Linked DNA regions of Macaca mulatta. The protein of the gene in region 3 interacts with the protein of the main gene of each other region in a biochemical or structural test. Links are inferred from orthologs where the notes say so. Each region holds a gene or a part of one and is shown on either strand. Other genes may lie near its edges.

Region 1 (3,873 bases), on a different chromosome or scaffold from region 3:
GACACAAGTCACAAGGAAGGCCAATGGGGTGCGCTCCCCCAGGGAGGCGGGGAGGACAACCCCACTGGGGAAAGAGTGGTGTAGGGGGCTCTGGGGTGCCCTGGATGATGTCACTGAAGGGGAGCCCAGGGTTCAAAAGGGTTCAAAGGGATTCAAAGGGGCTGTCGGGGCAGAAAGCAGAACTAAGCCCTTTCCCCAAAGCACACCCCTTTCCCAGGAGGAAACTGTAGCCCCACAATGCCCTGCCCCACAGGAAACCACGTGATGGAAAAAACACAAAACTCCTTCTGGGGAGAGAGTGAGAAGTGAGGTTGTGAGGTTTCCTCAGCCCAGGGACAAGGGGAGGGCGGGCAAATTTTCCAACCGCAGGGATGGGGGGAAGAGGGGAGGACCAGTCTGTCCCAACCCATCTCACCCCTGCCCAGAGGTGACTCCAGCTGAGAGACCCCCCAGAGCCTCCATACCCCATTAGGCCACTTCAGCCCACCACCTGGGGACAGGCTAGGACCCCAGGCAGCAGGGAGGGGGCTGAGCCCCTTCCCTTGGGCCCCAGGATGAGGAAGTCTCCATGCAAATGTCAGGCTGACCACAGGAAGCGCAGAGCCACCGAGGGACAGATGCAAATTCCCGCAGAGAAGGAGGTGCCACAGACAAGGCAGGGGACACAGCAGAACCTGGGAGAAAGTCTCTCACACACTCCCAGGTTCGGGGGTGACACTGGCTCCTGGGATGGGTCACCCAAAAGGGCCTTCTGTGTGGCTTCCCCGGTCTTAACCTCCTGCCCCAGCACTGCCCTCCCTTCCTTCTCTCTCTTCTCTTTGAACCCAGGCCTCAGCCTCCTCTGCAGGGGCCTCCTGGGGCCCTGCTCCTCTCTTCCAACTCTAGGCACTGGTCAGCCCGTCCTCCTCCTCCTAGCTTGAGGCAAGGAGAAACAGAGGACATGAGCTTTAGAGGGTCTCGCTGGCAGAAGCCCCCTGAGTGTTGCAGTGGGGAAGAGGAAGGGCAGGGGGCAGACATAGAGCCAGCCATGTGAGGCTCAGATGAGGAAGGCCTTGAAGGAGGCAGATCCAGGAAAGGAGGCCTCCCAGGTGGGCCACAGGGCTGTACCGCGACCGAATCCAGCTCTAAGTTTCAATCAGTGACCTGACCAAAAATATTGAGGCAGTTTGGAGGCCCGAATCTAAGAAAGGCTGCAAGCTGGCAGAAGCAAGTTTCCCAATCATTTCAACAATCGATCCACGAATGCAGGGCAAGGGCAAGTCGGCTTGGCCCAGGGGTCCGTGTGAAAACCCCCTAGCGTTATTCCGCTGCCCTTTAAGAGGATCTGGCATTGAGATGTGGCTGCTGGAAGGAGCTATGGTGTCCTGAGGAGTGTTCAAAGCTCCCCAGCCCCCCATCCATGCCTTTGGAAGACCACAGGAGGAGTCGAGGAGGGCACAGGAAGGAAATGCCTGGAGTATTATTCTGTGCCTGAGACAGTGTGAGACCCTTTACACAGGTGAACACTTCACATCCTGCTTTCAGTGATCTCTGTATTTGACCCCACAGGACAGACCCATCCCCACTGGGCGGCTGGGACAAGGTGTCAAGCGTCCTGGCAACCGTTCATCCCCATCCTCATCCGCAGTGTCAGCTCCTCACTGTCCTGACATGCACTGGGGTGAGAGGCAGACGGAGGAGGGCAGGCTGGCTTCCAGAGGAAGAAGAGCTTTCTAACAACAGAGCTGGCCGGCACGATATGCTGGCCACCAGCAGTGGCCTCCCTGTGTCTAGTGGGACCTGGGCTGCAGCGGCCAGGGCCCCTGGTATAGGGCAAGGCAGCTTTCTTTGGCTTCCTCGGGGTTAGGTGGAAAGGGTGGTAGGTTAGGCTCTGAGACACCAGGCCACAGGACAGCATGAAGGAGGGACACTGAGAGCCCCAGCCGGTGCGGGGAGGGGAGGGGATGGAGGGCAGGCAGTGCCGGGTGCCAGGCTCCCTGTCTCCCTGGCCGCTCAGGGCGGGAGCCGACTCACCCCTGCTTGCGAGTGGCGGGGGTACAGAGGCCTCACCTCTCACTGGTGGGATCGGAGCAGTTCAGCGGGTACTTGAGGTGGATGATGGTGCCGTCGCGGTCTTGCAGGACGCCCTGCTGCTGAGTGTAGTACTCCACCAGCTCTGTCAGCGTCGCGAACTTCTCCCCTCCATACAGGTCATAGAAATCCCCTGAGTTCTGGATCCGAATATGGGTCACCTGATCCCCCACCCTGCAGGGCACCAGGCGGTGAGGCCAGTCGGTGCAGGAGTAAAGCAGGAGGGCAGGGATCGGCTGAGGTCCTGGGTGGGGGCACACATGGGCATGGGTGGGCACAGACAGGGGTGGGGAGGGCGGGGGTGGGGCGCGAGGGCACAGACGGGACGTGGGGGTCGGGGAGTCGGCACTGCCACGGAGAACCAGGAGTGAGTGGTTCAGGGCCTGGATGGCACAAGACAGTGGCCAAAACGCCGGGGGTGGGGGCACCTACCTGACAGAGAGTGAGAAGTCACCCTGGTTCTTGCGACTGGGCCGAGCCAGGAAGCTGCCATGGACACCTCGGCCCTTGAGCAGGGTCTCTGCATCCAGCCCACTGAGGTCTCGGTGAAACCACCTGGGCGGCCCAGGCAGGGCAGTGAGGAGGGGTCCCGTGGGCACCAGGCACCCTTGCCTCCTGTCTACCGTGGGTGGCAGGCCCTTACCTCACCATCCTGGGGGCTTCCGGAGAGGAAGGGGGCGCAGGGAATGAGGAGGTGCAGCTAGTCTGGGCAGGCGGAGAACTCAGGGACTAAGCCTCAAATGCAGCTCCCAGTGCCAGGCCGCTTCACCACCCCTAGTGGTCCCAGTTCTGGGGCTGCCACTCCACTGGCCTGGGGCGGCCGGCAGGGCGGGGACAGGAAGAGGCGCGGCCGACCCCTTGGGGGAACTCACTTGCACTTCTCGTTTTAGAGCAGAGCAAGGGAAGAGAAGCAGAGCACGGTGGCACTGGGGGTGGGGACGGGGCCCACTTCCCACACGTCTGCAATCAAAGGCTTAGGAGCATGGCATTGCACACATGTGACAACACATGCAGTAAGGACACACGTGTGCACTGCACACTCCAGGCCCAGATCATACTTCATGCATGTGAACCGAGACGCTCACACGGCATCTCTTCCTCCTCCACCAGCTGCTTTTACACAGCCCTCCCTGGCCCACGCTAATGACAATGATGGCGGTGACAGCTGTCAGCGAGTGAGTCCTGCTGGATGCCGGGTGCTGTGCTATAATGGCGTTCACATGCCTCGTCTGATTGATTTCTCACCACAGCCCTATGAAATAGGGGCTATCTTTATCATCTCACAGACAAGGAACCTGAGGCTCAGGAAGGGTAAGGCATTGCCTGAGTCCCTCAGTGAGTCAGCTGCAGTGCCAGCATTCAAACCCAGACAGGCCGGTTCCAAAGCCAATGCTTTGAACTCCTATACACCAGCCCTCAGGGCTTCAAAGAACAGAGATTAAGAGCCTCCTTGTGCAAAGGGGCTGCCATGGGAGTGGGAGACTGATAGTTAAGACCTTGCCAGTGCTTGCAAGAGAGAAGGGTGCACTTCTGTAACCAACATATGCGTTTTGTCCATGCCACTGTGGCAGAGGGATGGACAGCATGACCCTGAGCAGCCCTGTCAAACTTGGGTCTTTTCTGATTCTTGTCCCTAGGCCTCTGCCCCGCCCCAGGACTCCCACCAGGGGGCCTATCTCCGGGGGCCTGGGGTCCAAGGTCCTCGCCATGGCTGATTTTCTCAGGGCTGGTTGATCTTAGAGGCCCTAAACACTAAGGTATATGATGCTCCCTGCCTGTAATTCCAAATACAAATGCCAACAC
Region 2 (4,566 bases), on a different chromosome or scaffold from region 3:
ATTATGTTTTTGCTACCGGACTTTTTCCTTGCTTAATCCTATTTATACCTCTGTTTCACTAGCATTGTAGATAAAATCATTAAAACAAGAAAGCCAGATTTCCTTAGAATGGGCTAGTGCATTTAAAATTAGACTGACGTTGCACAATCCTATGACTATACTAAAACAAAACAAAACCAAAAAAACCCCACTGAATTGCTTAAATATACAAATATGTACAAATATTACAAAAATTGTATGGTATATGAATTACATCTCAACAAGGATGCTTAAAAAAAAAAACCAGAGTGTATGACTTAAACAACATATTTCCATTGTTTTTAAGTGGCTTCCAATGGGCTCCTTGTACATCAGGTGCCTGGGGTGACCTACTTGCCCATTCATTTCTTATTCAGTCCACATTAACGGAGTCCACCCTTGGGCCAGGCACAGGGATAGCAGGGGTAGGCACCCAGCTCCCTGAGGATGAAAGGCAGGTACAGAGGAATGAATGCTTGTACCTGAAGAAGCACTGATTTTTTTGGGTTGAGGCTTCCAGTGACTATGTTGCAAACTCGAGTACTAAAACAGTTGATGTGATTTCACTATTTAGAAAATGTAGTGTTTTTGTTTCTTTTACTAAGTTACACTGACTCACAGACCTGGTCTCAAAGCTTCAATTACAGTAACCGTTTACCCTTTCAAGTGAGTTTTCGCACACTAACAGATAAGTGAAACAGAATTACAAAATAAAGTTAATGCTGAAAACAATGGACCTTTATTAACATCAGCGCCGGCTCACCGTATCTATTTTAACTCCCATCTATCCTGGCGGCTTTAAGCCCGCACTGGCGCTCCGCTCGGTCAAGCCGGGGTAACGCGGGAGGAGGAGGTGGGTTCGCACATCCTCTCTCCACTTCTTTCGGCCTTCGTCCTTTCGCAAGTCCAGGCGAGCTGGAAGCGCCTTTCCCGAGCACGGGCCGGGAAAAGGAGCCGAGCGGGGCGGAAGGACTTTCTGGGGCCAAGGGCGGCCGCGTTCTCCGCAGAGACCACACTTCGGCCTCGGAATGGACCCAGCGTTTGTGGTTCGCGGCGTAGAACACGGGGCACGCTCCGGGCCCCTGCCGGGCTGAGCGCGGGCGAAGGGCGGACCGGACCAGGGCGAGCGGGTCACGTGCGACCGGGAGAGGCGCGGAGGGCTGGGAGTGTGCAGGAATGTAGCAACTTGCAGCGAAAAGTTTCCCTGCGCTGCCGGCCGGGCCGCGGTGCGGGCGGGCGCGCAGAGGAAGGAAGAGCCGAGAGGAGGCGGGGCCGCGGCGGCGCGGGCGGGCGCTTCTCACAACTTTAGTTTTGGCGTCTGAGGCGAGTTTCTGTCTCAGTCGGGCGCAGCCGCCGCCAGGGAAAAGAAAGGGAGGAAGGAAGGAACAAGAAAAGGAAATAAAAGAGAAAGGGGGAGGAGGGGAAAGGCAACGAGCTGTCCGGCCTCCGTCAAGGGAGTTGGAGGGAAAAAGTTCTCAGGCGCCGCAGGTCCGAGTCCCTCGCAGCCCCTCCCGAGGCGCAGCCGCCAGACCAGTGGAGCCGGGGCGCAGGGCGGGGGCGGAGGCGCCGGGGCGGGGGATGCGGGGCCGCGGCGCAGCCCCCCGGCCCTGAGAGCGAGGAGAGCGTCGCTCCCGCCGCCCAGCACCGCCCGGCCCGCAGCCGTCGCCGCTTCTCCACCTCGGCCTGTGGAGCCGGGGCGTCCGGGCGGAGCCCTCGCCCGCCTGGTTTAGGGGGTGCGCGTCGGGGGAGGCAGAAGCCATGGATCCCGGGCAGCAGCCGCCGCCTCAACCGGCCCCCCAGGGCCAAGGGCAGCCGCCTGCGCAGCCCCCCCAGGGGCAGGGCCCGCCGTCCGGACCCGGGCAGCCAGCACCCGCGGCGACCCAGGCGGCGCCGCAGGCACCCCCCGCCGGGCATCAGATCGTGCACGTCCGCGGGGACTCGGAGACCGACCTGGAGGCGCTCTTCAACGCCGTCATGAACCCCAAGACGGCTAACGTGCCCCAGACCGTGCCTATGAGGCTCCGGAAGCTGCCCGACTCCTTCTTCAAGCCGCCGGAGCCCAAATCCCACTCCCGACAGGTAACCTTGTCGCCCCTCTCCCCGCTTCCCCGTCGGGCGGGCCTCAGACCGGGGGGGCGCTCGGGAGCCGCGGCCGCCAGCTCTGGCCAGGGGAGGGGGTTGCGGGAGCTCTAGCTGGGGTGGGGGTCCCGCGGCGAAGTGGAGGAACTGGAGTCGTCCGCTCGGCCGCGGTGACCAGCTCCCCACTCCTCCCAGAGTCCGGGGCTGAGATTTGTTTTTCCTTTCGGAGTTTCTTTCTGCGGTTGCGGCCCCGGGGGGCGTGCTTTCCCTCCTTCCTTTCTTTCTTCCCGGGGTTCCCGGGAGGTTGGCGGGAGTGGAGGAGGGGTGGGGAGGAAGGAAGGGGGTGGGGGAGAGCCGAGCCTGGGCCGCGGTGGGCTTGCACAATGCGCGCGCCTCCGCGCGCTCCGCACCTTCGCTCCCGCCGGGGCCGGGCCGGGAAAGGGGGAGGGGGGCCTCTGGCATTTGTGTGTGGGTGAGTTGCCAGCGGCGGCCGAGTTTGTGAAGTTGAGCCCTGGGCCCCTTTCCTTTGCGGCCTCTCGGTCCACTTCAGTCTCCTGGGGGAGTCAAATAATTGTTCTGTTGTTTTCCAGTGTTGATTAGAGGTGGGGGTAGAACCGGTCCATTTAGTTTTTTGCTCTTTCTTTCCCTCCCCCCTACCCATTTCCCCTCCCCCTCCGCCTCCCCCTCCCGTAAGCATTTATTTTCCTCGCGGCTTAGGCGATTTCTGAATACAGGTTTCGGGCTTCCCCTGCCCAGACTTTCCTGGAAGTTGTTTATGGAGTTCTTTCACCCCTGCGCTTCCCTTGTGTCTTGGAACTTGGGTCGGCTCGCTCTTATCAAACTTAGTAGGTTGCGTGTTGGTTTCCCGATCGTAGGCTATTATTTACAGTCGGCTGAAAAGCTTTTGAATTAGCCACATCTGTACGTTGCGCAGGAACTGAGTTGCGCTTTACAGTACCGAGGTTTTAACACAAGCCTTTGATAATACACTGCGGGTTGACTCATAGGCCAAGTCCTGCCTAGTTCAACTGTGATTAAAAGTTAATGTTTGGGAAGCGATGACTAATTCTAGGATCGCCATTGCTTTTTAATTCTTATTGCGGATATGAACATGGCTGCTTTTCCACATACACAACGTTCGATTATTTTGCCAGCTTGATTCAGCATAGAAGTGAAACTATTTATAATGAGAGTGTTAACATTCCGATAGGTCCCAGTGGTTTTGTTTAGTGTAGGGTTCTCTCTTTTTCCTTCTTTTCTTTTTTCTTCTTTTTTTTTTTTTAAAGAACTTGCTTCAGGCTAAACTTCAGCATAGGAACTTTGCCCAAAAGTTAATAGGTTTTCCAAATACTGCAATGTAGTTAGCCTACTCGGGCTGTAACTTGAGTGGAAAGAAGAGTTACCGCCCCCACTCCCATCCTCTGTCCTATTTGCAGGCCTGTTGTATATTCTTCTGTCAGAGACCACAGGGTTTTGGAACTCAGAAAAACTCACTTAACCTGATGACAAAAACCCGGGTTAAGGAGGAGGAAGGAAGGAAAAACAATTTAGCTGCTTGCCTAAACAGTTCAATTTGTCAGAGATAGACTTAGGTATGCTTTTTTTCTTACCCCTGGAAGTTGGTTTATGGACTCATTGTAAGTAAATGTGTGTTGGCATGCACCCTGCAGACTACACGGTATTTTTTCAAAGTATACTACACATAGATTGGATCCCCCATTTTGTGACAAAGAGTCACAACTGGAAAGTGTACTTTTTCTTCTAGTAGGTAATTTTTACAAGAATTTATATCCAGCAGTTCTAAAATTCATAAACTATTACAGTTTTGTTTTTAATAAGTTTTTAACTAAGTGTTGCTCATCTGTAAATTGGACTTTTATTTCTGCTAGTGATTTTCTAAATCATACTTATTCTGATGGGACACTCAGAAAGGTCTATCACTTTAAGGCATTAATGACTCTACTGAGTCCTTCCGGTTTCCTTACCTTTGTGAATCTAGGAAATTCTAACTTTTTGATAATCAAACTCTTAATTCTAATTAGACACATTTTAAAAACTATGCAAGATTGTGAATAGTAGAATGTAGGTTGTGAATACTATTGTTCACAACACAAACTGGTGACTATAAGTTGTTTTATATACATCCATTTTTCTGTCTTGAAAACTATGTTACAAACGAGAAAACAGGCATATGGAAGTTAACATACTTGTTCAGTGTCACACTAGCCAGCTTAGACTGGAACTCAGATCTTTGGGGTCTGAATGCAGAATTTTTTCTGCTTGTATAGAGTTGTGAATGTCTGTGAGTTCTTAAGTTATAATTGGACTGATAACCTCATTATCTTCTACATACAAATATATAGTTGAGTTTTTTTCATCTTGTTCATTGTAGATGGCTTTTAAGAACATTTGGGCAGTTCAAATTTGTTGCTTTCATTAAAAATTGTGTAATTTGTTATGATTTCTTTA
Region 3 (4,078 bases):
TTAGTATGCGTGTTGCAATTATACCAGGGATGCACCCGAGAGTTTTTCTTTGTACGGCCCTTTCATCTGGATCACTTTGTGTTTTGAACAAGTGAGACTCGCCTTTGTGCCCCCAGAATTTCAAGTACAGAGTCACACACGGAACAATGGCACGCTAATCCTCGCGCTCTAAATGGGCTCACTTGTGGGTCTGACAATTCGCCCAACGAAACGAGAAGAGATGAGCGAGGGCGCGAGCTGGTGTCGCCTGAGACGAGGAAGAGGACAGCTGCAGAACTAATTTGGATTACATTCCTTGCAGAAATTCTGAAAAGGGCTTTTCGGCATAGCTCAACCCGGAGCCGCACAGTTAATACCAAATTGCTGCGGACTCGGAGCGGGGTCCCTCAGCGGCAGAGGCTGAACCAGCCAGCCCCCAGTAGGTCGCCTCGTAGAAATTCCTCTCGGCTAAGCCTGCATGTCGGTCGCCACTGCCTTTGAATGGGTCAATGTGTATAATCAACCCATTGAGGGAAAATATGAAGGGACTCGAAGTGGGGAGGGAGATAAAAAGAGATGTATCTAAGAGGCCGCTTGGAATGTCAAGTCCGTGTTGGTGTGATTCCGGGGGTGGCTGGAGCGCGGGACCTGGTATGCGTGAAGAATTTCGGAGTAATTGGGAGGGTGCAAACAGCCAGCACAAAACGCCGCACATGTGCCATTCGAAGGTCATTTTGAAAGCCTCGATGATTGTAACTTGTTGTTTACTAGGCAAAGGAGGCGGCGGCGGCGGGGGCGGAGCGGGAAAACTACAGCTTGCTGTTTCCTTGGTGAGGTCAGAAGGACACCCTCCGGGGGCCTAAAGCGCTCCCTATCGCCACTCCCGGGGGCTTTATCACCTCAAGCTACTTCCCACGCTCCAGTCACCATCCCCGAATGGTTTCAGAAATCTCCCTGGCTCTCCAAAAGGCACCCCTTGGCCGCATCAGACACCGGTCCTCCTCAGACCTCTCCCGTCCCACTTTCATCCCCAGGAAACTCAAGTGTCAGAAACTTTGAGCTTCCTTGCACTGCAGGTGCTGTCATTAGTCCTGCAAGCCTTGGCGCTCCAACCCCGCCGCGCTGCCTCTCGGGGTCAATTAGCCCTTTGCCTGCCCAGGTACCTGGGGCTCGAGCTCTCCAGCAAGCAGTGGCCGCGCACCCGCCGCCGCCGCTTGCGCCTCGGGTGGATCCAGTGACCCGCAGGCTCGGCAGCCCGGCCAGGCAGTAAACAGACAAGTTTGAAGGACTCCGGCCAATAGCAAGTTGAACTACAGGAAGAACTCTTCCAGGAGCCAAACACGGCAACCGACGGGAAGGCCCGGCTTCTGGCTCGAGTGTGCCAAGCCTTTTTTTTTTTTTTTTAAGAGGTCATGCAGGCGAGCAAGCGCCCCTCAAGTCAATGGGGCGAGGGCTCCGGGAAGCAGGCCGAAGAGGCCCAGAGCTCCAGACCCCGGACCGAGGCGCGCCCGCCCGCTGCACTCTTGCTGCCCGGGCTGGGTACGAGTCGCGTCTGACCCCACAAGGCTTGGGCGACTGGGGGCGCAGCGGCCGCCGGCAGCACACACAGGTGCAAAGCCCGGGTCTCTGAGCGCCACTCTCCACCGCCCTTCAGGCTTGGCGCGGGAGAGGCCCAGCCAGCACCTCCCCAGGACCCCGGCCCTCCGCGGCCCCGGCGGTGAGGGTTCCTCCCTCGAGGGACCAGACAGGGACAGGAGAGTCTCCTCTGACTGGGGATTTGGGTCTCCCATGTCCCGAACAACAGGCGCCACCAGAAGGGATCCCGCTTAGGCTCCCACACAAAACGCTCGGGAAAGAAAAACAGGGGGTTAAGGAGAGAAAAAAGAGGGGCTCAGAGTGATTTCTTCACGATAAAGCACAGGCACACATACAGGGTAAGTTTCAAATGGAAAGAGGGGCGACCGAGAGCCCAGGGAAGAAGTCCCGGTCGAGCGGTCCCTCCACGCCTCCCGGGATGGGTGAAGAGGGCGGGGGAGCCACTCAAGGCAGCCCCGCCGGCGGCGGCAGGTTAGGCGACCGGAGCGCCAGAAGGAACCCACCTGACTGAGAATCGCTGGGCTGGACGGTCCCCGCCGCCACGAGAAGGCTCACCCAGACCCAAAGTCCTGTCGCCGGCTTCATTTTTTGGAAGTCTCAGATCCCGTGCTGACAATTACATGTCCAAATGGCATATCCCCCTTTCGGGCACGCGGAGGAGATCCCCCAGCCGGGCGCGCGTGGGGGCGCGAGGGGGGCGGGCGCGGCGCGCGCGGTGTAGCGACTCCCAGGGCGGGCGACCTAGTCCGCGCCCGCGGGTCCAGGGCCGGGGCCCGAAGAGGGGGCGAGTGTGCGTGTGTTGGAGTGTGCTCGGTGTGTGCGCGTGGCGGTCCGGGCCGAACTGTGCAGTTATTTCCCCGCGTGAGCCTTCGCTTGCTCGCTGCCTCCTCACTTTCTCTCTCTCTCACTGGTTGGTCAACAATAAAAAAGGAAGGGGGGCGAAAGGTTTCCAAAAAAAGTTGATTGCAAAGAGGCAGTAGGTTTCCGGCCTCTCCCCGCAGCCGGGCTGTGTTCTGCTCCTTCTTCAGTTTCCTTGCACCTCCAGTCCAAATGGGGAGGGGAGCGGGGCGGGGGGAGCTTCTCGCTTCTCCCCGGATCCCGTCCTTCTTTTTCCTGTCAGCTTTCCTCACACTTGTCCGGCGGCTGCGGTAATTAAAGCTCCGAGCGTCATTTCCAACGCTCCGCGGTCTCCAGCTGCAGCCCACAGAGAAATTAATAAGACTCCAGAAAAAAAAAAAAAAAAGAAAAAAAAAAGGTGGGGGGGGCGGTGGGAATAAAACAACCCTCCACGCAACCAGGCAGGCTCTGCTCAGCCGCGCAAACCCCGCCCATGCTCTGACCCAACTAGCCACGCCCTTCTCCCCCGCCCCCCGCCCCAAAGGGAAATCTCATTGGCTCAGCCACTCCCCAAAATCCTAGGCCTCCGGAGTTGGGAAAACACCTGTCAGGGAGAGGGAGCAGCTTGGTGGGGGCAGGGGAAGCTGGATTTAAAGGGCTCACCGAAGCCATGCACTGAAGCACTCCTCTTCCCTCCCTGGCAGAGGCCTGGGACAGCTGGCCCGCAGAGTGGACAGACCATCGGAGGGGCGCTTACAGAAAAGATTTTTTAAAAAAACAAGTCAGCATTTTCTCCATTGTCCCACGGTGCTTATCTACAGACAGGACTTTCCCTAGAAATAAAAGAAAAGTCAACGTTGCTTTCAGCAAAAAGCCTCCGCCCGCAGCACTCTGCCACTCATGGTCCACAATTAGAAAGTACTTTAAAAGTGTGCACAGTAAGTAACTAGTAGCCCCTGAGGATTAGGTGGTGGTAGGGATATAATCACCGCCCCGCCTCCCGCCCCCAGTTATGCCATCTCTCCGGTTATTCCCACATTTCCAAACTGACCGACATTGAGCCAAACTAAAATTTCACATTTATAAAGCCATACCCTTTGATTTTTAGATTTTATGTTTTTTTCACCTTTGGAGTTCATTCTTATTAAGCAGATTCTAGTCCAAAGCCACTGATTTAATCTTAAAGGGCTAGAAATTGTCTCAACCTGAAAGTATTTAAGGAGGCCACATCAGAACATAATTAACCTTAAATGATTCTGCTTCTTCTACAGTAGACCCAGCTTTAGGCCCTTTCCTTGTCCTCACTCTGCACATTCATGGTCCCTAATCCGGAGGTCATTGCTAGTTATGAAAATCTCTGACCTTTTCTGAATCTAAAATATTCTGGGACTGGGTCATATCAATGTTCATATCCCTTGCCTTTTACAGCTCTGAAACCGCACCCTGGCAAGGACCAGAATCTCCTGGGGGTAGTAAGTTATTAGTTACTATTTGTACAGGCATTCTATGTATGAATCACTTTCCTTTTTTGGTTTTTCTAGAAGCAGCAAATATATAAATAAAAAGTATCAGGGGAGCTTAAAAATCAAACCACCCTGCCTTTCATTTGAGACCTGGATCTCCATTTCCCACTCTCTTATCTATAGCTCCATCCCTTAAGAATTTC
Region 4 (3,591 bases), on a different chromosome or scaffold from region 3:
TCCTGGCCTCAAGCAATCCTCCCACCTCAGCTTCCCAAAATCTTGCGATTACAGGCATGAGCCACCACACCTGGCTAAACAAGGAAAGTTTTGAAGAACAGTGAGGCAGTGCAAATAAGAGAAAGCACAGTGGTCTGACTCCTGAGTCTGAGGAGCTGGAGAAGCCCTTGGATCTTCTTACGAAAGGAAACTTGCAGTGTCTAGCCTTTAACCATGTGACATTGGGCCTCACAACCTCTTCGGGGTGGTTTCCTTATTTGTAAAAATGGGCACAGATGGCCGGGCGCGGTGGCTCACGCCTGTAATCCCAGCACTTTGGGAGGCTGAGGCGGGCGGATCACAAGGTCAGGAGATCGAGACCACGGTGAAACCCTGTCTCTACTAAAAATGCAAAAAATTAGCCGGGCGAGGCGGCGGGCGCCTGTAGTCCCAGCTACTCGGGAGGCTGAGGCAGGAGAATGGCGTCAACCCGGGAGGCGGAGCTTGCAGTGAGCCGAGATCGCGCCACTGCACTCCAGCCCGGGCGACAGAGCGAGACTCCGTCTCAAAAAAAAAAAAAAAAAAAAAAAAAAAAAAAAAAAATTAGCCGGGCGTGGTTGTGGGCGCCTGTAGTCCCAGCTACTCGGGAGGCTGAGGCAGGAGAATGGCGTGAACCCGGGAGGCGGAGCTTGCAGTGAGCTGAGATCCGGCCACTGCACTCCAGCCTGGGCGACAGAGCGAGACTCCGTCTCAAAAAAAAAAAAAAAAAATGGGCACAGATGAGATGACTGCCTTCTAGCTCTGATAAGGCTTGGGGATTTGAGGACGGGCCAGGACTGTATTTGTTTTGTTTTGTTTTTTTAGACAATCTCACTCTGTCACCCAGGCTGGAGTGCAGTGGTGCGATCTCAGCTCATTGCAACCTCTGCCTCCTGGGTTCAAGCAATTCTCCTGCCTCAACCTCCTGAGTAGTTGGGACTACAGGTGCCCACCACCACACCCAGCTTATTTTTATATTTTTAGCAGAGATGGGGTTTCACCATATTGGTCAGGCTGGTCTCAAACTCCTGACCTCAGGTGATTCACCTGCCTCAGCTTCCCAAAGTGCTGGGATTACAGGTGTGGGCCACCACGCCCAGCCCTATAGTGCCAGGACTATAAAGAACACAGTTCAGGCTAAGGGATGAGCCCCTGGAGGAAGATGCCAGACACCCTAAAGAGCAAGAGAGGCCCACAGAGAGCTGCCTAGCGGGAATGTCTAGAAAGCAATGAGGGAAGGAACAGGGATACACTGTAGGGTACTGTACCTTCCTTTCTGCCACCCCTCACCCACACCTCTGCCACACTCACCACACCCTCAGGGTCCACCAGTAGCAGATGCTTGGGCTGCCCACTCTGCAAGCCAGTGAGCACATACTGGCCAGGTGTGGTCGTGCTCTCCCGCACCAGGAAGTCCCCGTTGAGCTGCAGCAGTGCCTCAGCCTCCCGCCGACTCAGCTTCCCATGGAACCAGGGCTCCCCTCGGAGCTGCTCAGCCATGGACACTGACTGGGGAGGTGGAGGCACCCGAAGAGCATCTTCAAAGGGCTCTGGAAGTGTAGACAGAGGGTGAGGGAAAGTAGCAGGCACAACACACACCCAAGACCCAGACTTCAGGGAAGGGAAGTCAGGAAGGAAAGAGCAGATAGGCAGGAGAAGGGCCAGAACCAAGTAGAAAGGTGGAGATGCAGAGAGGAAAGACAAGCACTCACTCATATCAAACAGGTCACGGGGTGCACTGCCATTGACAGCAGGATTGGGGAGCCCAGCACCACCCACTGCTTGCCGGACCTTGTCTAGGTTCTGGACGTTGACATAGGAGGGATCGTCAAAGAGCTCTCTGCCTGCTGAGGAAAGAGAGGTTCTACAGTGATCCCCAGCCCTGCCTCCAGCACTCCCTGGCTCTGTCCATCTCAGCTCCCTTCATACCTGGACAGGGTGGTGGAGGTGGCATCTGTTTTCGGACTTCTGGATCTCCCCCAACAGGCTGTCCTACAGGCTGCAGGGATAAAAATAAGGTGAGACCAGAAGCCCTAAACAACCACTCCCACCCTAGGCCCAGCCCACCTCCATCCAAGCAACTTACCAGTGTAGCTCCCAAGTGGCTAGGGGTCTGGGCACTGGGTGCAGTGGATCGAGCAGCCCCTGGAGCAGCTCCTTCCCGAAGCCTCATGTCTACCACCCCCCCCAGGGGGGGTTCCTTCCCCGGGAAGTCATTATAGTACTGATGGTCAGGTGGCTCTTCCTCCTCCTCATCCCACGCTGAGCCATCAAAGCCAGCCATCCTGAGGGACAGGACAGTGAAGGTGTAGCTGTAAATGTGTGGTGGGCAGGAGGAGGGGAGGAGGGAATAGAACAGCAGCCATCTATTGGGTATTTACTGTGGATTAGGCCTGAGGCTGAGTGTTTTATATACATAATCATTTCATTCTCCTGGCAACCCCATAAGGTAGGTATTGTTTCCTTCCCCAATTTTACATATGAGGAAAATGAGGGTCAGAGGTGAAAAGATTTGCCCAAGGTCTCACAACTAAAAGGCGGCTAAGCTCAGATTTAAATTCAGGTTTGACTTTAAAGCTCGTCCCCCTTGGCCAGGTGCAATGGCTCACGCCTATAATCCCAACACTTTTAGAGGCCAAGGAGGGAGGGCTGTTTGAGCCTAGGAGTTCAAGACCAGCCAGGGCAACATAGCAAGACCTTATCTCTACCAAAATAAAAATACTACTACTCAGCCACGTGTGGTGGCATGCACCTGTGGTCCCATCTACTCAGGAGGCTAAGGTGGGAGGATCACTCAAGCCCAGGGTATGAAGGCTACATTGAGCTGTGATTGCACCACTGAACTCCAGCCTGGGCTACAGAGCAAGGCTCTGTCTCAAAATAAGTAAGTAATGCTTTTGCTCTTGATCTCTGTGGGAGGCGCTCCAGCTCCAGAAGCACTATGGGGGGGGGGGGTGGGGTGTGTGTGTGTGTGTGTGTGTGTGTGTGTGTCTGTCTGTCTGTCTGTGTGTGTCAGCGTCAGCAGGGAGGCGCTCCAGCTCCAGATTTTACCTCCAATCCCTACTGGCTCCACTGCTTATCCCTCAAGGCCTGAGGTGGGAAAGATTGTAATCTCAGGGAAAAGAGATATCCTCCCAAACCCAAAGTCTTGATGGCTTCTAGAGGCAGGAAAACACAGAATGCCAAGCAGAGAAATGAGCAAGAAAGAGGAATGGGAATAGAAAATCCCACCTAGCCAGAGAGAGATGTAACTTGGAGGCCCTGGACTACAGCTCCACCATGAGCAAACAAGAAAAGCTGGCCCTGCGGCAAGCAGGGCCTCAAAAGCCTTTCCTCCTGGGCCACAGGAAACAGAAGAATAGCAGGAAGTGGGAAGCAGAGGCACACAGGTTATTCCCTCCCTGAACCTCTCAGCTCAAGTGTGGGAAGAACAGCCCTCCTTTCCCAATCTTGGTCTCAAAAGCTGCTCCACACTCTCCCCACTTGCTCACCTGTCATGAGGGGTGACCAGTTTGGGTGGGTTCCTGAGGTATTGTTTGAAGCGCAACTCAAAGGCCTGGCCAATGGTGCTGA
Region 5 (3,521 bases), on a different chromosome or scaffold from region 3:
CTGAAATGCAAAGGACATGCAGGTGTAAAATAGAAAAGACGACCTGTAAACAAAGGTGCTGCAGAGGACGGAGGGGCGTCCTGGAGGCTGTGGGGGACAGGAGCCGCCAACATTGGGCCCCTGGCAGAGCTGCCACCTCCCTGGGCCCAGGCTCTTGGGGAGACCTTTCTCTGCCCTCCTCCTCTAACAGCTGTGAGTAGCCAGGGCTTCCCCATTCCGGTAGCTGTGTCTTTATCTCCCCCTGGAAGTTACCCCAGCTCCAGCTCCAAGCCTAGGGTCCTGGCCCTCTCCTCCCAGGGGTCGGGAACTCCAGCTCTTGCCTGAGAGCAAAGCTACTTCTATCCTCAGTTCTTCCTCAGGGCCAACCCCTCACGGCCCCCCACCCTCGCCCCCACCAGAACCCCGCAGCCTCTTCTTTCCCTGCTGTCACTCCCAGCACCCCGCAACCAAGACCTCTCCCCCGGAGCCCCAGATGAGCGTACAGCAAAAGGCACCACAAAATAGGTTTCTATTAAAGAGTCAAAAAATTGGCCCATCTCTCTTTTTTTTTGTTGTTGTTTCTTTTTTTTTCCGAAGCTGTAAATCAGGATGTTACATATAAATAGTTTCCCTATAAAAACGTCTTTGCCGTTAGCTAGTATTATAAGACAATTTTTGCTAAAATGAAAATAAAACATTTTGTTATACTTTTTTCCTTTTATAGAAAATAAAAATATTTTTATTTATTTTTTCCTCCTTTCTCTCCAGTAGGCGGTCTCTGGTCTCCTTAAAGACAGTGGGGCGGGCGAGGCGGAGGTGCGCGCGGCGGGGCCCTAGAGTGGCGCCGAGTCCTGCTTGGCCCGCGGGGGCGGCCCGCGGCTGTGTCTGCTGCTGGCCCGCGTGCTGTGGCTGTCCAGGGAGTAGTAAGTCCTACTGTCGGCCGCCGGGCACAGTGGCGGCGAGTCCGAGCGCAGCGCGTCGTGCGCCGCGCGCAGGCCCAGGAAAGGCGTGCTCTCGGCTGCCAGCGCCCCGTCCGCGTCGTCCGCGTCGTCGTCCGACGCCGAGGCCGAGCCTCCCCCCGAGCCGCTGCTCAGCGACAGCGAGTCCCGCGCCGCTCTTGCGCGCTGCGCCGCCAGCCCGTTGAGGCGTGAGCGGCGCCAGCGCCGGGGCCCCGCCGACGTCCTGCGGGACGCGCCGCGCGCGCGCGGCCGCGGCGGCGGGGGCGCGCACTCCTGCGTGGTCTCGTACTCGTCGTCCTCGGGGATGCGGAAGGGGCTGGCGGGCAGGCTGCCCAGGCTGCCGCCGAGCGCGCAGGTCCCGCGCCGCGGTCCGGGCCCCGCCGCGGGGTAGTAGTAGCTGTCGTAGCTGCGCTGCATGTCTGCTCCGGGCCCGGGCCCGGGTCCCGGGCCGGGGGGCGCCGGGTGCCGCAGTAACGGCTGCTGCTCCGCCAGGCGGTAACTGATGGGCGCGGCCGGCGGCAGCGACACGGCGTGCGCCGAGTTGGGGGACGTGATCTCGAAAGTCGGCACCTGCGTGGCCAGCGAGTAGTGGAAGTCCACGGGCGAGAGGCGCGCGGGCGTGGTCAGGGCCGACACGTACCTGCGGGGAGAGGCAGAGGCATGGGCCAGGGCCAGGCCGGGCGGGGGAGGGGTTGGGGGAGTTGGGGGTGGGGTAGGGTGGGAGGGGCGGACATAGACTTGCCTTAACCTTGCCCGAGACCCCGCCTGCAAGAATGACGGCGGCAACCGTCAGTGGCCTTATGCAATTTCCTAAACCTCTCCGAGCCTCGGTTTCCTTATCTGTTACGCGGGCGTAACCATGGTGTTCATTCCATAGCTCTGTTGGGATGATGTATCGGGGGATGTGTTAGCCCTTGTGCCTGACCCGGGTGAGCTTCCATGAATGGTCACTTGCTGTGGGAATGCTCACCGTCAAGGGGGTAAGGCTCACACTGGGGTATAGTACATGTTCCATCTGGTTTAGTACGGCAGCTCTGTAAGACCCTTCCGCCAGTCCCATTCTACACACAGGAAACTAACACTCAGAACATTTAAGTAACTTATTCAGGATTTACACAGCCAAGAAGTGGCAGAGGTGGGATGTGACTTGAGGCTAGGCAGGAACCAGGACTCATACTGCCCAATTCCAGAAGCCACTAGTCCCCATTCAGATACCCCTGTGACCTGGACTCACTGCCCCACAAGGGCAATTCCTTCCATGCCCTGATGGCTCCAGTGAGGGAAATACTCCTTCTTATAGTGAAGTCAAAACCTGCTTCGGGGAGTACCAAAATCCCACTGAGGTGTCTCTGCTTGTGGCTACAGACCCCTCCCCACACCACCAGCTCCTTCAGAAGTCTGGCCTTGCTAATATCTTCCAGGCTGGATCCCAGGTACCTGTCCCTTTTTGTGCTCACATCCCCCTTGTAAGCCCATCAGCCTTCTGCCCCACCGTTGTCACCTCAGGACGGGGGCCACCCACCTCCATGCTTCCCTTCCAAACTGCACAGCTGGGCACCTCACTGCTCTCTGGAACCAGCCTGGAGTCCCCATTATGATTTTTTCTGCATTGCCTGACTCTTCCCTCTTCCCGCTCCCACTGGCACATCTAATTAACCACCAAGCCCTACCCATTCCCTTCTCTGGAAGCACAGTCTCCACCCCATCCTGGGCCCAGCTGTTCACATGTGGTCACCTGGGTCCACCCCAGGGTCTCTCCTCCTTCACTCTATGCAGTTCCCAGAGCAATCTTGTAATGTCACAGCTCTGCTGAAGCAGGTCTTCCTGTTTACCCACCCAGGGTCAGTCTCTCTGGCCTCAGCTTGCCTGTTCAGGCCCAGCTCCTCTGCTCCCTACAGCCCACCCTGTTCCAGGCACCTCACTCATCAGCCCTATTCTTAAGTGCCTCTGTTGGAACAGCTCAAGTTGTTCCCGGTGCCTGGAATGCTTTCTTCCTGCTCTCCTGCCTCTCCCCTTCCTACCACCCATTAAGGAGTCTCATTGCTGTGGTTATGATTGATAAATAGCTACACCTAGTGAGCATGAGCTCTATCCCAGGGATGAGGCAAAGAGCTCTGTGCACATGATCTCAGGTGGCCTTCACTTGAACCATGCATAGTAGCTATTGTTCTCCCTGTTCTACAGCTGAGGGAACAAGGTACAGAGGTGATCAGGCTGCCCCAAATCACACAGGTGGAGCTGGGCTTGGAAAACCTGGCTGCTTCCGAGAGCCTACAGTCAGACTGGGTCTCTCTGCCCTGCTGTGGTGTCATGTTTAGCACTTTCCATAGGCTGCTGTAAGCTTCCTTGGTTTGTTTCTGTGACTAGGAGCTCCTCAGGAGCAGGAACCTGGCAGGCCATTTCTGGATTTCCAGGCAGGCCTGCCCAGCACAGGGCCTGGCATGGAGTAGGCTGAGTTGAGAGCAGGGGAATATCTGCTCCTCTCCCCACTCCCTGGTCTGGAGTTTTTAGTACTACTCATCTTTCCCTGCTCGCCTCCTACAGACCCCACTTACTGAGGACCACTCAGGGCTGAGCAAGGTG
Region 6 (3,635 bases), on a different chromosome or scaffold from region 3:
ATAAAGTAAATGAGAGCTCCTTTTAGTAAGAGCAAGCTGTCTTCTGATTAATAATATAGTTTTTTTTTAATCACAGTATTACTTTCTTCCTAATATTTAACATTACTTAATGCGGTTTCTTGCTGTATTTAATAGTAGCATGCTGTTGGATCTACTATTATCTCAGAGCCCAATGAGGCAAACCTTTGGCTGGCAGAGTAGACACAACTCATTTCATATTCTGAAAGCAAAGAAAACTTCATACACAAGTGAGGCGTATCTGGATGGATGTGCCCAAGACATACTGATCGGGTGCTACTACAAGCAAACAGAGGGACAGTTGCAAGTCTTGCAAATCATACATCCAGTCAACATCATAATGCAATGCACAAGAAGCCAGCAAAAACTGAATCTATGAGAGGTTTTGCTGAAATACTGTGGAAAAGCAATCACTGTAACTGTACAAAACTTGCTCTCGACATAACATAACATAAAGGCACCATTGATATCTTTCTCGTTTTGAAATACTGTAAAAAATTGCTACATATGGCACATAACACATTTTTTACATACATATATTTAATTTATAAAAGTTTTTTTTTCCTGTTTTCTATTTGCAGAACTGCTAAAATAAAATAAATTGTTTAATTTAAGGTGGAATACTTTATTATATAAAATAAAGTTTTACAGGTGAATCTATGTGTTTATTTAGGTTTTATACAGCAATAGGGTCTTGGTTAGCAATTACACTAGACAGCCTGGCCTGGATTTCTTCCTGTGTCGAGAAGCGGCCTGCTGGGTTAGTCCTGCTGTCAGCCAGGCGGAAGGCAGGTGTTGCCTCAAGACTGGCTGCCAGGGGGTTCTGTATGCCCAGGAAAGGTGTATCTTCACCTACTCTTTCATCTTCTGTTTCGCTCTCTGAGTTACTGCTCTGGGAGCTTGTGTTGCCGTCCACTTCCAATCTGTTAGCAATGTGGCCATTGGGCTTGGTTCTTTTGGCCCGCCGGCTATTGGCGAGTTTCTTAACAGGCTCTTGGGCTGGCTCGTACTCCTGGGTCGTTTCATACTCCTCATCCTCCACTATCCTCAAGGGGCTAGGGGGGAGGCTGTTACTGTCATGCGCGGGGTTGTGATGGAAGGAGCTGAACTGCTGAGGGTGATGGTCAAACTTCTTCTCCCGCAGCCTTGGTGGTGTCACGAGAAGTAGAGGTCTCTCTTCTTCCACGAAGGGGCTGACCGCCATGGAAGGCATGGACACCGTCATGCTGGACACGGGTGGAGACATTTCCGAAGGGGGTGATTTGGGGGAGCTTGGCGTGTGGAAATCTACAGGTGACATACGAGCCGGGGTGGTCATGGCTGACACATACCTGTGTGAGCACAGAATACCCTGCATAAGTGTGGTGCAATAAGAGGCACATAGCAGGGAAGGTAAGGGGACAGAGTTCACAATAGTATATCATCAGAGAACAGAGAATTTCTATTCATTGTAGACTGCTCAATTATTTACGCTAGGACATTCCACACCCTTGGAATCGAAAATTAGGTAGCCAAGAGTTTCCTCACAGGAGTGCATGCAAAGATCAGCTAAATTGCCTAGCTCATCAAAGCTTTTGGGATTTTCAATCTCATCACAATTATAAATAAAGGCATATGAGCCAAGATAAGAAGGCATTAGGTCCTGGAAACCTCTCAGCTTATATAAGGACCAAGGCTCAGGGATTCGGAAGGGAAAGAAGTATTACTTAAATACTATACCTTCCTAAAGGCCAAGGGGTCTTAGAGAATGAAGCCCAAATGGGGAATGGAAGAAGATCTAAGATGAGTTGCTGATAGCTGGATCTGCATGCATTTGGATCTGTGTGCCTTGTTTCTCCTTAGCTCAGCTATAAGGTTATGTCTTATGAAAAAAAAAGAGCATAGTAACTTAGATTTATTCCTGACAACAGTGTCATACATTTGTGTGCTTTTCATATTTTCCATGAAATGCAACTAGTTAACATTCAATTTGGAACTATCCATCCCAGTGTCCAACAAACACAGTCAAAGGTAAGCCTGAGAGAGCCTAATGTTGGCTTCACAGTTACCACAATGAGGTTATGTCCAATCTTTGGTCTATCTCTCTTCCAAAACCCACAACTATATCAGTCTTTGGTTAATCTCTTTCATGATGCCTCAAGGGTTGGCTGTACCATGTTACCTTCTATCATGTTATGTCTGATAATGCTCAGTGACTCTTGCCATCAGGCCACCAAGCACACTGTTTTCACCATACCATGCTTTCTTCCCCCAATATAAGAAGTCCTGACTTTTGGCACTGAGGAAGACGTGGCTTATTCAGAGTCACATTTCTCAGCTTTTGATAAAAAATGCTACCAGCACACAAGACTAAATGACTCTTTTCTTCACACTGGCATTCACAGAGTCTAATTTGACATGACCTGAGATGACACGGAGTGCCATCATCTGAACTCTCGCTAACAGGAACAGAAAACCCATGAACCTCGCTGCTTCTCCATGATTTGCAGTGATACAGATATGAGAACTAACTGCCTCTAAACCGGGAACGTGCCTGAGAAATTGAAATACGTGGGCCTTGAGTCTTCAGACTTTTGGCTTTGGGGGTACTTAAATTAAGCTCTCTGAGAAATGCTAATTCAAATTCAACCAACATATAAAAGTGATTCATCTTTTCTCTCCATAATCTCTAGGTTAAAGGAATATTTTGTAGTCCTAGGTATTATCTGGAAGCCAAGCACAGCAGGGAGATGTCAACATTTAAAGATAAATATCACTTGTAGTGATGAGGAATGATTTCATCTCTAACTTCCTTTTCATGTTTCAAAAATAGACTGAAATAGAATGGATAGACTTCCTTAATACATAAAAAAAATTATATGAATTTAAGACTAAAGTTTTAAAACAGTTTAAACCCTGCCTTTCATAGATTAGTTGCAGGGAAACCTCTGATTTCATAAATTCCATAACGTTCTAAAATATCATTTTTGGGGAAAGGCCCTTGAAGAAGTAACCAATAGGCCTGCAAGCCCAAAATTTTTGTTTGTTTGTTTTTGTTGTTGTTTTATTTTTCTTGCTTTGTTGCCTAGGCTGAAGTACAGTAGCGCCATCTCAGCTCACTGCAGCCTCCGCCTCCTGGGTTCAAGCAATTCTCCTGCCTCAGCCTCCCGAGTAGCTGGGACTACAGCTGGGTGAGCACTGCCACGCCCAGCTAATTTTTGTATTTTTAGTAGAGACGGGGTTTCACCATGTTGGCCAGGATGGTCTTGATCTCCTGACCTCGTGATCCACCCACCTCAGCCTCCCAAAGTGCTGGGATTACAGGCGTGAACCATCACACCCAGTCTGTTAATTTTTGTTGTCAGTACTCCCCAGTCTTTATGTGGAAAGAGTCTATCAAAGTCATCTCTACCCATGGAACTACCACATAAGTATGGATTTGACATTATGTAAACCTTTTAGTAAATGGTCAAAGATTAGACTAAGATGACAATAAAATAAAAATAAATAAAATAAAATTCAGTGGACTTGCAAACAAACAGGTAATAGCTTACCTCTGATTTCATAAATCCCATAAAGTTCTAAAATATCATTTTGAAGGAAAGGCCCTTGCAAAAGTAAGCAAGAGGCCTGCAAGC
Region 7 (4,599 bases), on a different chromosome or scaffold from region 3:
ATAACCACTGTACCAAGCATGCTGTTAGCATTTAATAAAAATTGAACTTTTTCTTTCAAAAGCAGTGGTGTGATACTGTGTGTGTGTGTGTTTTGTTTGTTTGAGACAGAGTTACACTCTTATTGCCCAGGCTGGAGTTCAATGGCGTGGTCTCGGCTCACTGCAACCTCCGCCTCCAGGGTTCAAGCGATTCTCCTGCCTCAGTCTCCTGAGAAGCTGGGATTACAGGCACCTGCCACCACACCAGACTAATTTTGTATTTTTAGTAGAGAGAAGGTTTCTCCATCTTGGTCAGGCTGGTCTCAAACTCCCGACTTCGGGTGATCCACCTGCCTAGGCCTCCCGAAGTGCTGGGATTACAGGCGTGAGCCACCGCGACCGGCAAAATTGGAATTTTTAACACTCCCTGAACACTCCCAGGGACTCTGCATTACAATGACATGAAATAAATTGTCGTGTAAAATTTGAACAAAACTCTGACGCAAGACTTGAACCCTTTATTGAGGAATATAAAAGGTGGAACACTACATCCCTATAACATGGCTGGCATAAATATGACTAACTTTACTTTTCCACTTTAAGTATCAAAAGATGCAGCCTTAAGTCAAAAATAGATGAGGGTAACAGAATCTTTTCCTAGTTTCAGTCCTTTCTAAATGCTCCAAAGAAGCTTATCCAAAAAAAAAAAGGCCGGGCACAGTGGCTCACACCTGTAATCCCGGCAGTTCGGGAGGCTGAGGCCAGCCGACCACCTGAGGTCAGGAGTTAACATACCAGTTTGGCCATATGGCGAAACTTCGTCTCTATGAAAAATACAAAAATTAGCCAGGCATGGTGGCATGCACCTGTAATCCCAGCTACTAGGGAGGCTGAGGCAGGAGAATCTCTTGAACCCGGGAGGCAGAGGTTGCAGTGAGCCAAGACCATGCCACTACACTGCAGCCTGGGCAACAGAGCTAGACTCCATCTCTTGGGGGCAATGGAGAGAGGAAAAAAAAAAACCTCTGAATTGTCCAGAATGACTGTCAACATATGAACCAAATCTTTCTTTCCTGATATTCACCAAGGTTGTTAAAATTCTAAGGGTCAATTAAGAGTTATACGAGAAACCTATAACAAGTTTTGCCTAATACCACTTCCCATCGCAACATTTTCATCAAGGTCCACCTTTATGAATAAACACCTAAGTTCAATTAAGACAAGTGAGGAGGTATTAACTTACATTAAAAAAAAAAGTCATTGTCCTGTATATTCTACTTAATTTTCAAATAGAATACTATACTGGCCACCAACAAAAAATGTTTAAGGGAAGCTCTGTTAATTTTGTTTTGTCTCACTGTTGTACTTCCAATGTCTCGACTATAAAAGCTAAGTGGGAAGCCTAGGGAAGAAGATACATTGTTGAAATAAAGGCGCTTAATCACACCTATAATTCACAGTATTCCTTTCCTTTCTCTCTGACCCAAGTTCTCATTAAGTGACCCACAGACTCTTCTAAACATCACTATGCTTTCTCTAATCAGAAGCTGGGATGTGCACTGAAATAAATACATTCTAACCAATACATTTTTCAAATTATTAATACAATACTCGTTTAAATATTTGTATTCAAAATTTCTCACTAATCATCTAGCTTTATCAAGTAACACACACAGGTTAATATACACTATGACTGCCTTGGTAGCCGCAGTTTGACTAAATCCTGGGACACCACTTCAACTTGGAAGGGACAGAACCATATCCGGTTCTCATCAGATACACATTTTCTCATACTTTCCATCTTAAAAACTTTACACCTTCCCAGAAGAGCAATAAATGTAGGAAGACGCCAGGTAGTATGCCTGTAAGGAAGATAAGTGATCAAAGAAACCTGAAACTTCAAAAACTTTTCCTAAACAAATCACAGATGAAAAAGACAAAGTATGGTTTACCCCATTTCCACTTCTTTTCTGGAGCCAGCTGCCCAAATTCCTGAACAGCAGTCTTAACTTACTGGTTAGTTGGAGGAGCGGTCAATGGTATGGCCACCTCTTCCTCCTCGTATTCTGGTCCATCCAGAGAGTCACCTTCGTCCACTGTCCCCAGGCCCGCCCCCAAAGGGGGCAGGTAAGGGGGAGGGGGCAGAGGGGGAAAACCGCCGCCTGGCCCAAGAGTCTCAGCAGGCAACGAAGTGGGCAGCTTGGTGAGAGCCATGTCTCCACTAGGTCCAGCGACAGCAGCACCGGCCACGCCAGCAGCAGTACCTCCCCCTGTCAGTCCGGCTCCCCCCAATGCCCCTGTCATAGACCCGGCTCCTAGGAACCCTGACCCCAAAGCGGCTCCGCCACCCAGAGTTCCAGCCACTCCAGTCTCCACCAGCCCAGGATAGGGGGCGGCTGCCACAGGCAGGGCCGCGGGTATCTTCACCCGACACACTGCGGGATAGGCACTGGAGCCCGCTGCCGCGCCGCCTCCTCCAGCTCCGGCTGTTACCGGGCCGCCCTCCTCACTGCCGGCCTCGGCCGCCATCATGTTGAAGCCCGCTCTACTCTGCCCTACCCTGCCCGCCCGGGAGCCCCGGGGGCCACCAGGCCCGGGCTCCGAGCCGCCCCACCCAGACGCGTCTCCCCTTCAGCTCCCCAGGCGGAGGAAACAACAACAAAAGGAGAGAGCCCGCCGCCGCGCCCCCTCCTAGGGCCACAGCCCAGGCTCCGGAGCTGCTTGGGTTACGGGAAGCGAAGTGGGCAAAAAACCCAACGCCTGCACAAACGCCACCCAAACCTCACGGCACACACCCACACTCACGCACACAAACACATGTACAGAAGCGAAAACTTCCTGGCTGCACTAAAGAGGAAAGGAAGCACAGGGAAAGAGGCTTAGGTGGCTATCGCTCCTTCAGCAGCCACCACCGCTTCTTCACCACCCCAGTTCCGGCCACCCACACCGCAGCCACCGCCGGTGCCGCTGCTGAGGCTGGGGCCACTGCAGCCGCTTCATCCTCCACCAGGCAGATGAGAGGGGTGGGGACAAGAGAAAGGGGGGCGGGGTAACAAGGAAATCGACTGAACTGCTCACTACCTGGAGCTCTCAGTGACTGAAACCGTAGAGAGAGAAAGGAAGGCGGGGCAGGGGAGGAGGGACGGAGGGAAGGAAGGGCGGAGGAGGGAGAGGGCAGCTTGTGCGCAGGCGCGTTCCCGGAACGGGGAGCGGGGAGCGGGGGGCGGGGGGCGGGGGGCCGGGCCTGGAGGAAAAGGAAGAGTCCAGAGGGAAGGAAGCGGCGGGGACGCGCGGTGCGTGGTCGCGCTTGCTGTCCTACTCCGGTTCCTAGCGTGCGGCGGCGCGGCCGCATCTCCTGTTGGCGTGGCCGGCGGCGCGCGCCTGTCTCCCGGGGCTTTGTTTGATGGGCGGGAGAAGAGGGAAGGGTACCTGAGCACGCGGGTGCTCGGCGCTGTGAAAGCCGGAGAGACGAGAGGGGGACCGGGAGGCGGCGGAGAGGAAGAAGGGGGAAAGGGAAAGGAAAATGCCTAGAAACTAGTTCCGTACTTCCTGACCGGTGGAAGAAACAGCCTTAGCCAGCAGCGCAGAGACCATGCAGGAGTCAGGTAGCTTTGAAGATCGGGGCAGTACTAAATGTTGTCTTTTTCGTTGCATGCTATAAATCACCATGACTATCTCACACACACACAGATAGAATAGATTCTGAAACTCCGAAACGAAATAAAGGGCACCATATGAGAAGGGTGGGGAATTTTGGTAGAAATAGTGGTTATGAAGTAAGATTTCTACTAGTATTTGCATAGGTTTTTCTTTATCAACTGTCTCATATACTTACCTATGCTATTATAAGTCTGTTGTATACTGATGAAGAGGAGGGGGTGCCACAGAAAACACTAATCAATGCACTTTTGTCCTCTGTGTGCAAAAGACTGCAGGGTGTGATCCGCAATGCAAGCACCTTCAACAAGTCAAATGTCAAGAATGTCTCAGAATGCCAGTTACAATTATATATCGTTTCTAAAGTAGCAATAAACTGAAAACTCATTTTTAATACAATTAAGGAGAAGAGTGTTATTTTGTCTTCTACACTAAAATGTATACAAACTATTACATGCATTCATGTACAGGGAGCTTCCCATGGTTTGAAATTAACGGTATTGTTATTTTAAATTCTCCCAGTAGTAATCCCACGTTGAATACCATTGGATATTGATCTTTGAGATCAGTATTTTCTCTGCTAAGGATGATCAAGCCAACACTCCGGATGGCAAGTGGTTGTGATAGAAACCAAGGAACAAGAGAAAAGACCACTGAAAGAGGTGGCAAGATACAGGCAATGCATTTTCTTTGTAAATTTGCGTAGGCCTATTTACCTAGTCGATGACAACGATCCAACTTGATTAGGAGTAGTCCTGGGACCTCCATTATGCTTATGTCTTAGGCAATGTGCTACTTGGGAGAAGGAAGATGAACCAGTCACAGGAGCTAGAGTTCTCGAGTGAATTAAGGCCAGCAACATCCTAGGAATTCAGTAATGCCACCTCAGACCTTCTGAATCAGAAACTGTGCAGCAATCCATTTTAACAAGCCATCCAAGTGATTGTTTGCCCACTTAAGTTT

The links.
Region 1: the proteins of ERBB4 (region 3) and PTPN6 form a complex in vitro, tested with the Homo sapiens proteins (2 studies listed by BioGRID, with this or other methods). The link is inferred for Macaca mulatta from reciprocal best matches to the Homo sapiens genes ERBB4 and PTPN6.
Region 2: the proteins of ERBB4 (region 3) and YAP1 form a complex in vitro, tested with the Homo sapiens proteins (2 studies listed by BioGRID and IntAct, with this or other methods). The link is inferred for Macaca mulatta from reciprocal best matches to the Homo sapiens genes ERBB4 and YAP1.
Region 4: the proteins of ERBB4 (region 3) and SHC1 form a complex in vitro, tested with the Homo sapiens proteins (2 studies listed by BioGRID and IntAct, with this or other methods). The link is inferred for Macaca mulatta from reciprocal best matches to the Homo sapiens genes ERBB4 and SHC1.
Region 5: the proteins of ERBB4 (region 3) and NRG2 form a complex in vitro, tested with the Homo sapiens proteins (2 studies listed by BioGRID). The link is inferred for Macaca mulatta from reciprocal best matches to the Homo sapiens genes ERBB4 and NRG2.
Region 6: the proteins of ERBB4 (region 3) and NRG1 form a complex in vitro, tested with the Homo sapiens proteins (2 studies listed by BioGRID and IntAct, with this or other methods). The link is inferred for Macaca mulatta from reciprocal best matches to the Homo sapiens genes ERBB4 and NRG1.
Region 7: the proteins of ERBB4 (region 3) and RASA1 form a complex in vitro, tested with the Homo sapiens proteins (2 studies listed by BioGRID and IntAct, with this or other methods). The link is inferred for Macaca mulatta from reciprocal best matches to the Homo sapiens genes ERBB4 and RASA1.

Annotation. Positions count from the first base shown.
Region 1 is NC_133416.1:7,923,560-7,927,432, reverse strand, and holds part of PTPN6 (tyrosine-protein phosphatase non-receptor type 6), read right to left. Parts: intron 3,323-3,873; exon of another isoform or gene 2,722-3,322; coding exon of another isoform or gene 2,714-2,721; intron 2,626-2,713; coding exon 2,503-2,625; intron 2,245-2,502; coding exon 2,050-2,244; intron 1-2,049. UniProt on the Homo sapiens protein: Tyrosine phosphatase enzyme that plays important roles in controlling immune signaling pathways and fundamental physiological processes such as hematopoiesis.
Region 2 is NC_133419.1:102,977,127-102,981,692, forward strand, and holds the start of YAP1 (transcriptional coactivator YAP1), read left to right. Parts: upstream 1-1,492; 5' UTR 1,493-1,549; coding exon of another isoform or gene 1,550-1,776; coding exon 1,777-2,097; intron 2,098-2,405; exon of another isoform or gene 2,406-2,569; intron 2,570-4,566. Other genes in the region: uncharacterized protein LOC144334584, read right to left, coding at 792-1,492, 1,550-1,778. UniProt on the Homo sapiens protein: Transcriptional regulator with dual roles as a coactivator and corepressor. Critical downstream regulatory target in the Hippo signaling pathway, crucial for organ size control and tumor suppression by restricting proliferation and promoting apoptosis.
Region 3 is NC_133417.1:117,705,181-117,709,258, forward strand, and holds the start of ERBB4 (receptor tyrosine-protein kinase erbB-4), read right to left. Parts: upstream 2,801-4,078; 5' UTR 2,161-2,800; coding exon 2,079-2,160; intron 1-2,078. UniProt on the Homo sapiens protein: Tyrosine-protein kinase that plays an essential role as cell surface receptor for neuregulins and EGF family members and regulates development of the heart, the central nervous system and the mammary gland, gene transcription, cell proliferation, differentiation, migration and apoptosis.
Region 4 is NC_133406.1:112,035,975-112,039,565, reverse strand, and holds part of SHC1 (SHC-transforming protein 1), read right to left. Parts: coding exon 3,510-3,591; intron 2,304-3,509; coding exon 2,105-2,303; intron 2,018-2,104; coding exon 1,948-2,017; intron 1,866-1,947; coding exon 1,731-1,865; intron 1,569-1,730; coding exon 1,330-1,568; coding exon of another isoform or gene 1,225-1,329; exon of another isoform or gene 1,192-1,224; intron 314-1,191; exon of another isoform or gene 1-313. UniProt on the Homo sapiens protein: Signaling adapter that couples activated growth factor receptors to signaling pathways. Participates in a signaling cascade initiated by activated KIT and KITLG/SCF.
Region 5 is NC_133411.1:148,702,673-148,706,193, forward strand, and holds the end of NRG2 (pro-neuregulin-2, membrane-bound isoform), read right to left. Parts: intron 1,579-3,521; coding exon 813-1,578; coding exon of another isoform or gene 723-812; 3' UTR 688-722; downstream 1-687. UniProt on the Homo sapiens protein: Direct ligand for ERBB3 and ERBB4 tyrosine kinase receptors. Concomitantly recruits ERBB1 and ERBB2 coreceptors, resulting in ligand-stimulated tyrosine phosphorylation and activation of the ERBB receptors.
Region 6 is NC_133413.1:34,586,733-34,590,367, reverse strand, and holds the end of NRG1 (pro-neuregulin-1, membrane-bound isoform), read right to left. Parts: intron 1,880-3,635; coding exon of another isoform or gene 1,759-1,879; exon of another isoform or gene 1,738-1,758; intron 1,350-1,737; coding exon 695-1,349; 3' UTR 628-694; downstream 1-627. UniProt on the Homo sapiens protein: Direct ligand for ERBB3 and ERBB4 tyrosine kinase receptors. Concomitantly recruits ERBB1 and ERBB2 coreceptors, resulting in ligand-stimulated tyrosine phosphorylation and activation of the ERBB receptors.
Region 7 is NC_133411.1:93,645,835-93,650,433, reverse strand, and holds the start of RASA1 (ras GTPase-activating protein 1), read right to left. Parts: upstream 3,079-4,599; 5' UTR 2,512-3,078; coding exon 1,994-2,511; exon of another isoform or gene 1,937-1,993; coding exon of another isoform or gene 1,932-1,936; intron 1-1,931. UniProt on the Homo sapiens protein: Inhibitory regulator of the Ras-cyclic AMP pathway. Stimulates the GTPase of normal but not oncogenic Ras p21; this stimulation may be further increased in the presence of NCK1.